Alligator mississippiensis: one gene and its partner. The protein of the gene in region 1 interacts with the protein of each later gene in a pairwise test. Links are inferred from orthologs where the notes say so. Each region holds a gene or a part of one and is shown in the gene's direction. Other genes may lie near its edges.

Region 1 (3,749 bases):
CATTTCTGTGCTTCATGAAACAAGGCTTTCTGAGAGGAAAGTCTGAATGCTGAAAAGAGTATAACCACACCAATAACAGCTGCTTGAGTGTGGAGACAGATTGAAACAAAAGCTGTGAATGGGTTGAAAAGATTCTGCTCTTCACAGTGAGTCTCTGCTTAAAGTAGAAACTCTATGGGTGACAGGAAGAGAGCACAGTGGTCCTGGCTCGCTCACCCACATACAGACATCCTCCAACAGCTGAGGTCAATACTATGAGCCACCTATCTCCTTGTCTCTATATGGGGACAAGCATGTGACCACACCACTCATGATGATGACTACTACTGCTACTCAGGGAGAGAAAGAGCCCCTGACAAGTGCCAGGCTAAGTGATGGATGGAGCCATGATCATGGCAAAGTGATTAGCACCTTGGGTATCAGACAACCTCATTACAACCACAGATTTGCGAATAGCCACTTCTGCAGACAAGGCAAGAATCACAGAACCATAGGGTGGGAAGGGACATCAGGGTCAAGCCTGCCAGCTGTACCACCAATTTTGTAGCAGTACAATGGTGTCACATAGGGATGTAATTTTATATAATTAGATAAGTTCAAGCCCTCACATGGACACAGCCCTATAGTGGTATAAAGATGCCTTCTGTGGGATAACGCGTTGTATGGATACAAGTACCATTACACCCGTTGAGCTTCGACGACACTGGCAGGAGGCAGAGCAGCACCATTTCAGGTCTCCGGGTGTCTAGTTAGAGCAGTACAGCTTCTCCGGCTCCATAAGACCTCTGTGCAGCAGCAGAAGCAGCTGCAGGCTTGGGACACTTTTCATTCAGAAGGCATTTTGCATTTAGCCATTAGGCCACGCATTCTGATTTAAGGGCATGCCCACGTGGCCATGCCTGGGGCTAAATACAGCAGCAGGAACCACAGCGGGCTGCTGAGCCCACGCTTGGGTTTGCCACATGGAGCTCCCTGGGCTAGCACCAGCAGGGGACACCAAAGGCGAGGAGTTTTGCATGATGGCTTGTGCTCCCCTCCTCCCCACCACCTCACTACAAAGCCCCTCCATACACACAGGCAAGGGTCTTTGAGTATCTGTGGTATCTTTTGTTAGACCAACTGACTAGTTGGGGGTGGGGGGAACAAGTGCTTAGCAAGCTTTGGCGCGCAGCCACCCTTCTTCAGGCATTGGGAGTCTGTGAAGCCTTGCCCCAGGCAGAAACCCCCCGTGGCTGCAAAGCGGAGGGGAGGGGAAGGAAAGTCTGAATGCAGCCACCCGGCCTCCCCCCGGACCCAAAACGCCCCGGGCTGACTCAAGAGGGGACAACCCCGAGGTGCAGGGAAGGAATTTCTCCCGGCAGCACCAGGTAGCAGGGCCCGGGCGCCGGCGCAGGCGCAGGGGGAAGGGCCAGTGCCGGGCGCAGGAGCAGGCGGCGCCCCCTGGCGGGCTGAGGGAGCCCCCGCCGCCGCAGCTCGGGCTGCGGTTGTCACATGTCGGAAAGTCCCCGGCCCCGGGCGTGGAAATCCCCGCGCGCGCGGGGGTTTCTGCTCAGTAAAACAGAAAGGAAAAAACAAGCGGCCCGCTCAGTCTCGCCTGCTCCCCGCCACGCAGCGCCAGCGGCAGCAGGGAGGGGGCGGCGGACGACAGCAGCGCGGCGCTCAGGCAACAGCAGCGAGCGGGGAAAGCGGCGGATTGATGGGTCCCGCGCTCCAACGCGCCGCCCGGGCCTGAGGCGGCTGGCCGAGCTCCCCGCCTGCGGCTGCGCCGAGCCGAGCCGAGGTGAGGTGAGGTGAGGTGAGGGCGCCGCTGCTCCGGGCTGGTGCGGGGGGAGGGGGCACGGGGCCGCCTTTGTCCCTGGAACGTTCATTGTGCGCGGGTTCGCGGGTCCGCGGCGCGGCTCGGACACGCACCACGGTGGACGCACGGAGAAAAACACCGGGCAGACGCAGCATGCACGGAACGGACCGGGACACGCGCAGGACGGACACCCTCAGAGGAAACGGGGCAGACACCTGGGATGGGCACAAAGGAAAAATGCGTGGCAGACACAGAATGGACAGGCAGACATACGCAGGACAGACGGAGGATGCACAGAATGGACAGGGACACACGTAGGACAGACGTACACATGAGACAGATGCCCTCAGAATAAAGAGGACGGACATCTAGGATGGACACAAAGGAAAAACGTGTGGCAGACACAGACGCACAGAATGGACAGGGACACACATGACAGAAATACGCAGGGTGGACACAAAGACGCACGGGAGAAACATGGGGCAGATGCATGATGCACAGAATGGACAGGGACACATATAGGACAGGCACAGGACGGACACCTAGGATGGACACAAGGAAAAATGTGTGGCAGACACAGGACACAGATTGGACAGGGACACATGTAGGGCAGTCATACACGTGGGACAGGCACAAGGACAGACACTGGTAGAATAAACAGGATGGACACCAGGACTGGCATGCACAGGACAGATGCCCAGAATGGACAGACAGGAAAAACATGGGACAGACACAGGGTGCACGGAATGGACAGGGCCACACACAGGAGAGAGATACACAGGACAGACTCACATGGGACAGGCACAGGACAGACCCCCCAGGATGGACACGCAGATGCATAGGAAAAATGTAGGAAAGACACAGGATGGACACAGACTGAATAAACAGAATGGACACAGGGACACACACAGGATGGACACAGACTGAATAAACAGGATGGACGCAGGGACACACACAGGGCAGCCATACACAAAACAGGACACACATAAGATGGACAGACAGGACACGCAGAATGGACACAGAGAGAATAAACAGGATGGACACACACAGAATACACAGGACATGCGGAATGGGCACTCGCACCCACACATACACATACTCCACCCAGGCCATCTGTGAGTTATGTAACTCATAACAGCTCATTGAGACACCCATTGCTCTGGGTGGTTTTTTTTTTGGTGTTTTTTTTTTAAGGTGGTTCAGAAGGCTTAGTATCCATCCCCATCCTGACAGGTATAAAAAAGGAGAGGGGCAGGGGTCATTGTACACTGGAGGTGGCTGAAAAGTGGGTGGGCTGTTACAGCATTGGCCACAGTGGGAATCAGTTTTGTGCAGATTCCCTGCTGCTTAAAGTGGGAGGGGTGCAGACACAGAGCAGGCAGAGCTCAGACTAAGATGCCTGTAGTCTGTATTAACATGACACAGAGCCTTACAACAGAGGAGTAAGATGTTCCACTCCAGGCAGCATTCACATCTCCAGAAGTGAGGAGTATCTGGGGTACTAACTACTCCCTTTATCTGCAGTAAGTTGCTCTTTGTTGGATGCAAACCCACTCTCTTGCTACCTAGCGACTAGGGATCATAATATGGCCTGCTGTGGGCCAGCCTGATGCCTGTAGACTGAAATCAGGGGTAAATTATTCTCATGTGTTGTGTGTCCTCAGCCTTGGGGAAGATAGGCTGCCTTTAGCATTTGAGAAAGGTATTTAGCCATGTTAGTCTGATGTCAGGCAGAACGCAGGGTAGATTTGCATCTTCTAGACTAAATCAGATAAGCAGCATAAGTTTTTTGTAAGCTCAAGTTCACTTCATCAGATATTGTGTAAGGACAAACATGTTTGATGATCATTCATTCTTACACAAAAGAATCCAATGTATAGACTGGCATCTGTGCCTCCTCATTAATACAGACCACATCACAGGACTGAATAGCACAGATAACAACACCCAG
Region 2 (3,749 bases), on another chromosome or scaffold:
AACTGTTTAAATTATATAACTATTGCAATAATTATTTTACTGAACGTGGAATTTAATAAACATGGAAAGAGAAACGTAGCCATAAATTGTTTAATCTGGAGAGCATGGTCAAGCAATGACCGTGTACCAATGAACATGTAGATGAACTGTGTAACAGATGCATTTGAAATATCACTGTAAAGAACATCTCTTTGGTGGTGAAGGTGTTTTGCACAGAGCTTTTAGAAAGACTATGTGCCTAATATGCTCCAGTGTCTGGTTGTTTTTTTTTTCTCTTAGAATCCATTTAGCACATCTCTTTTGAATTTATGCGGGCTATTTTGAAAGGATTTGCTTGATTCCAAATAGCAGTACTTAAAGGTATTCTTCTATCTCCCTCTAAATTGCACTAAATCTTATGGAATCAGAAAAAAAGGAGAAAACTATCTGTGAAATATATACATTCATTCCGAGCTGTTTTGGGGAGGTTTTACTTGCTTGCCTGTTTTAACACAGGTAACCCAGAAAACAAAAATGCTAACTATCTGAATAAAAATGGTAGGTGGGGTCTGTAATTGAGCTAATGAAATATAAATGGGAAGCCAGGTGCTCCTCTCCTTTTAGAAACTCTTTCTCCTGGTGAATTCAGAGGTTGGTAGGAACAGCTGACACAAATCTTCAGCAGACATAACTGAAATATGTGGATTCTCCCAGTCTCCAAAACCGGTTTGAACCGAACAAAAGAGGGTTTTCTCTGCCTTTGGTGAAGTTCATCCCACCCTCTGGCTGGGGATAAACTAGTCCTGCCAAGATCGACTTCTATTTCTGGCTCATTAAGATACTTCTGAAGAGCAAATATTTTGCCTTTTGGAATGCACCAGATTGTGCTTGAAGCAGATGAACCATCCAAAATCTCTTCTCCCGAATAAAAGGCAGATTCCTCAGTTCATTTCTCTCCCAACTCTTCAAGCCTCTTCCAGCAGCATTCAGAAGCAAATGCTTCGGGCTCGAGGCTGTGTCCTTAGTCAGCTGTAAGGGCTCTGGCATTAGACCACTCTCCTTCCTCCTTCCGCTGCATTTATAATGCTGCATTCCTGCCATTAGAAGCTTTGGGGTGCTGGCCTAGAGGGGCACGTTTGAAAGAGTTTAGGGGGGCGATCACTGCAAGAGACACACAATGGAGAGCAGACCCAGGTCCTCTTCCACAGCACGGTCGCCTTCTGTGTTACACCTCCTGTAGCAGTGAGACAGAAGGGAAGCAGCAGCCGCCCGCACATGCGCAGTGGGGTTGTTTTTCACAAAGCTGGTCTTAAAGTGAGCTGGCAGTCCGCAGCCTCCCTGTCTTTGTACAGAGACCTCAGAGCTGGGTAGTAGCTGAACAGCCACTAGTGCTGTGACTTTTCCAGCAAGCCCAATGAAGCGTTTGTAGAGCAGACACTGGTCCTGCCTGCAAGCTTTTTTGCACGGCAGAGGCTTTGAACAGTGTCAAGTGAAGATCCCATTTTATATGAGATCTTGACTTTGATTTTGGGGGTTTTTTTCTTACAGTATATTTTTATAGACTTTGTTATAAAAAAAAAATGGTGCTGGGGAAGGTGAAGAGTTTGACAATAAGCTTTGACTGTCTCAATGACAGCAACGTCCCCGTCTATTCTAGCGGGGACACAGTCTCAGGAAGGGTCAGTTTAGAAGTTACTGGGGAAATTCGAGTGAAATCTCTTAAAATTCACGCAAGAGGACATGCAAAAGTGCGCTGGACTGAATCTAGAAATGCTGGATCCAACACTGCCTATACACAGAATTACACTGAAGAAGTAGAATATTTCAACCATAAGGACATCTTAATTGGGCACGAGAGAGGTAAGTTGTTTTTTTTTTTTCATTTTAATTCGGGAGTCAAAATCCTACACAGTCATTTTTGATGCAAGCAGGCATGCACATCTTCGCATCCTCTTGGCTTGAACAGTCTTTGGAGGGGGGCTGGTTATTATATCCATTAAAAACCACAACATACAAGGATGTGAAAATGTACTACATCTCTTAGGGGCTGTAGGTTTTGATGATATGGACATTGATGGTGGGTCAGACTTTATCTGCAAAGTGCCTGCAAAACAGGACTTTCTCCAACAACCTGCCTTTAACAGAGCTTCTTGCAGAGGCACTTCCAATTTTATGATTATTTTAAGTGTGTCAGAAAAAAACTGTGCTATAGCTAGACATGAGCAGGGTTGTGTTCCGTATTGCACTGAGAACTGGGGGGCCAAGCCAGGTAGTTAATGCTTTTAAGTGACTTTTTTGTAACTTCTCATCAAATGTTGAGATGCAAGACAGAATCAGGCTTTTAGACGTCTATGGATATAACTCCTATTTTTCAAATCGATTATGCGAGGCCTTTCGAAGGATGGATAATTGTTGGCAGATAAAGGATTCCCTGTGGCTTATTTTGACATACACTCTCAGCACTCCACGTGTGGCTTCTTCTTCTCCCACCTCCCCCAGTAAGTTAATAAATCACCTGAATGTCTTTTATACGCCACATCTGTCAGAGAGGCAGGTATAAAGGTCTGCCTGCAAGCCTCCTTTGAGTCCCTGAAGTGCCCAACTGGAGCATCATGCCTAAGTTGGGGAGTTCAGGGAAGCTGCATTCATTGAAACCTGCTGTGCCAGCCACGTACAGTGCAAAATAGATTCCTATCAAATAATGGGGGGGAAAAAAGGGGGAATCAAGCCTTGGCAAGGGGGCAGCGGGTCTTCAGATGGCTAATCTATTGTTTGAATGGTGACATGGTAGAAGTATAGGGGACTCTTGGCTTGTTTTTCTGAAGTTTCCACCCTTTGTTAGAAGCGGTTCAATCCTGTTTGGGACCAGTCCTGGCGAGAGGGAGGGGGTGCGAGCTCTCCTCTCCGCAGATTGGTTACACGCGTCAGGTGGTGGCGATGACTTAATTCCTAGCACAAGAAAATAATGTTAAAACTGGTTATGTAATTTTCTTTTTTCTTCCCCCCCCCCCTTGTTCCCTTTCACTTATTCTGCATATATATAAATAAGTGCTGCAGAGACCAGTGCGGGAGCTGAGGGGGGGGGTCCCCTTTCCCCCCTTACAAAACCATCTCATTCAAGGGGAACTTAGGGGGTTGCGCTGGCAAAGGCTTTTGGAATAAATGGAAGGATTTTTTTTTTTTATTTTTTTTTTTAATGTTCACAAAATGAGCGGGTTGCGAGGCCTGAGGTAAAATGATGGGGTCCCTCCCCAGGCAGAGTTCGTGCCCTCTCCCCACCCCCTCTGCGGATGCCGGGCGGCAAGGGGCCTGTGTCCCTCCCTCCACAGCCCAGGGGATGACTGCAGGAGGCGACTCGGGGCGCCCCCCGGGACAGGGAGCGAACAAAGGGGCCGGTTGGTGGGTGGGTGGGTGCGCGGGTCGGCGGTGGCGGCCGCACCCCACACAGCCGCTGCGGCCACCGGGCAGCCCGGGTGCCCACTACTCTGCCCCACGCCGGTCACACCAGCTCAGTACCCCAGCCCCGCCCCGCGCCGCCGCCATTGGCCCGGCGCCGTTTGTTAGCCTGTTGCTAAGGCGATGCCCGCCGCTGATTGGCGCGGGGCGCAGTGGGGGCGGGGCAGGTCCCGGTTCCTGGAGTCCAGCGTGCGCCGCTGCGGGTTTGGGGGGGGGTTGGGGATCGAGAACCCCTTTCCCCCGGCAGCGGGGGCCCGATCCTCCTCGCCTTGCCCTACGGCCGGGGGCAGGATCGGGCCCGTGTGCTGTGGGGC

Evidence for each region.
Region 2: the proteins of TNFAIP3 (region 1) and ARRDC3 interact in binary tests that used the Homo sapiens proteins (3 or more experiments, as listed by UniProt). The two-hybrid records come from large-scale screens. The link is inferred for Alligator mississippiensis from reciprocal best matches to the Homo sapiens genes TNFAIP3 and ARRDC3.

The regions. Positions count from the first base shown.
Region 1 is NC_081824.1:119,673,835-119,677,583, forward strand, and holds the start of TNFAIP3 (tumor necrosis factor alpha-induced protein 3), read left to right. Parts: upstream 1-1,376; 5' UTR 1,377-1,491; coding exon 1,492-1,785; exon of another isoform or gene 1,786-1,795; intron 1,796-3,749. UniProt on the Homo sapiens protein: Ubiquitin-editing enzyme that contains both ubiquitin ligase and deubiquitinase activities.
Region 2 is NC_081826.1:242,393,809-242,397,557, forward strand, and holds the start of ARRDC3 (arrestin domain-containing protein 3), read left to right. Parts: upstream 1-1,295; 5' UTR 1,296-1,559; coding exon 1,560-1,839; intron 1,840-3,749. UniProt on the Homo sapiens protein: Adapter protein that plays a role in regulating cell-surface expression of adrenergic receptors and probably also other G protein-coupled receptors.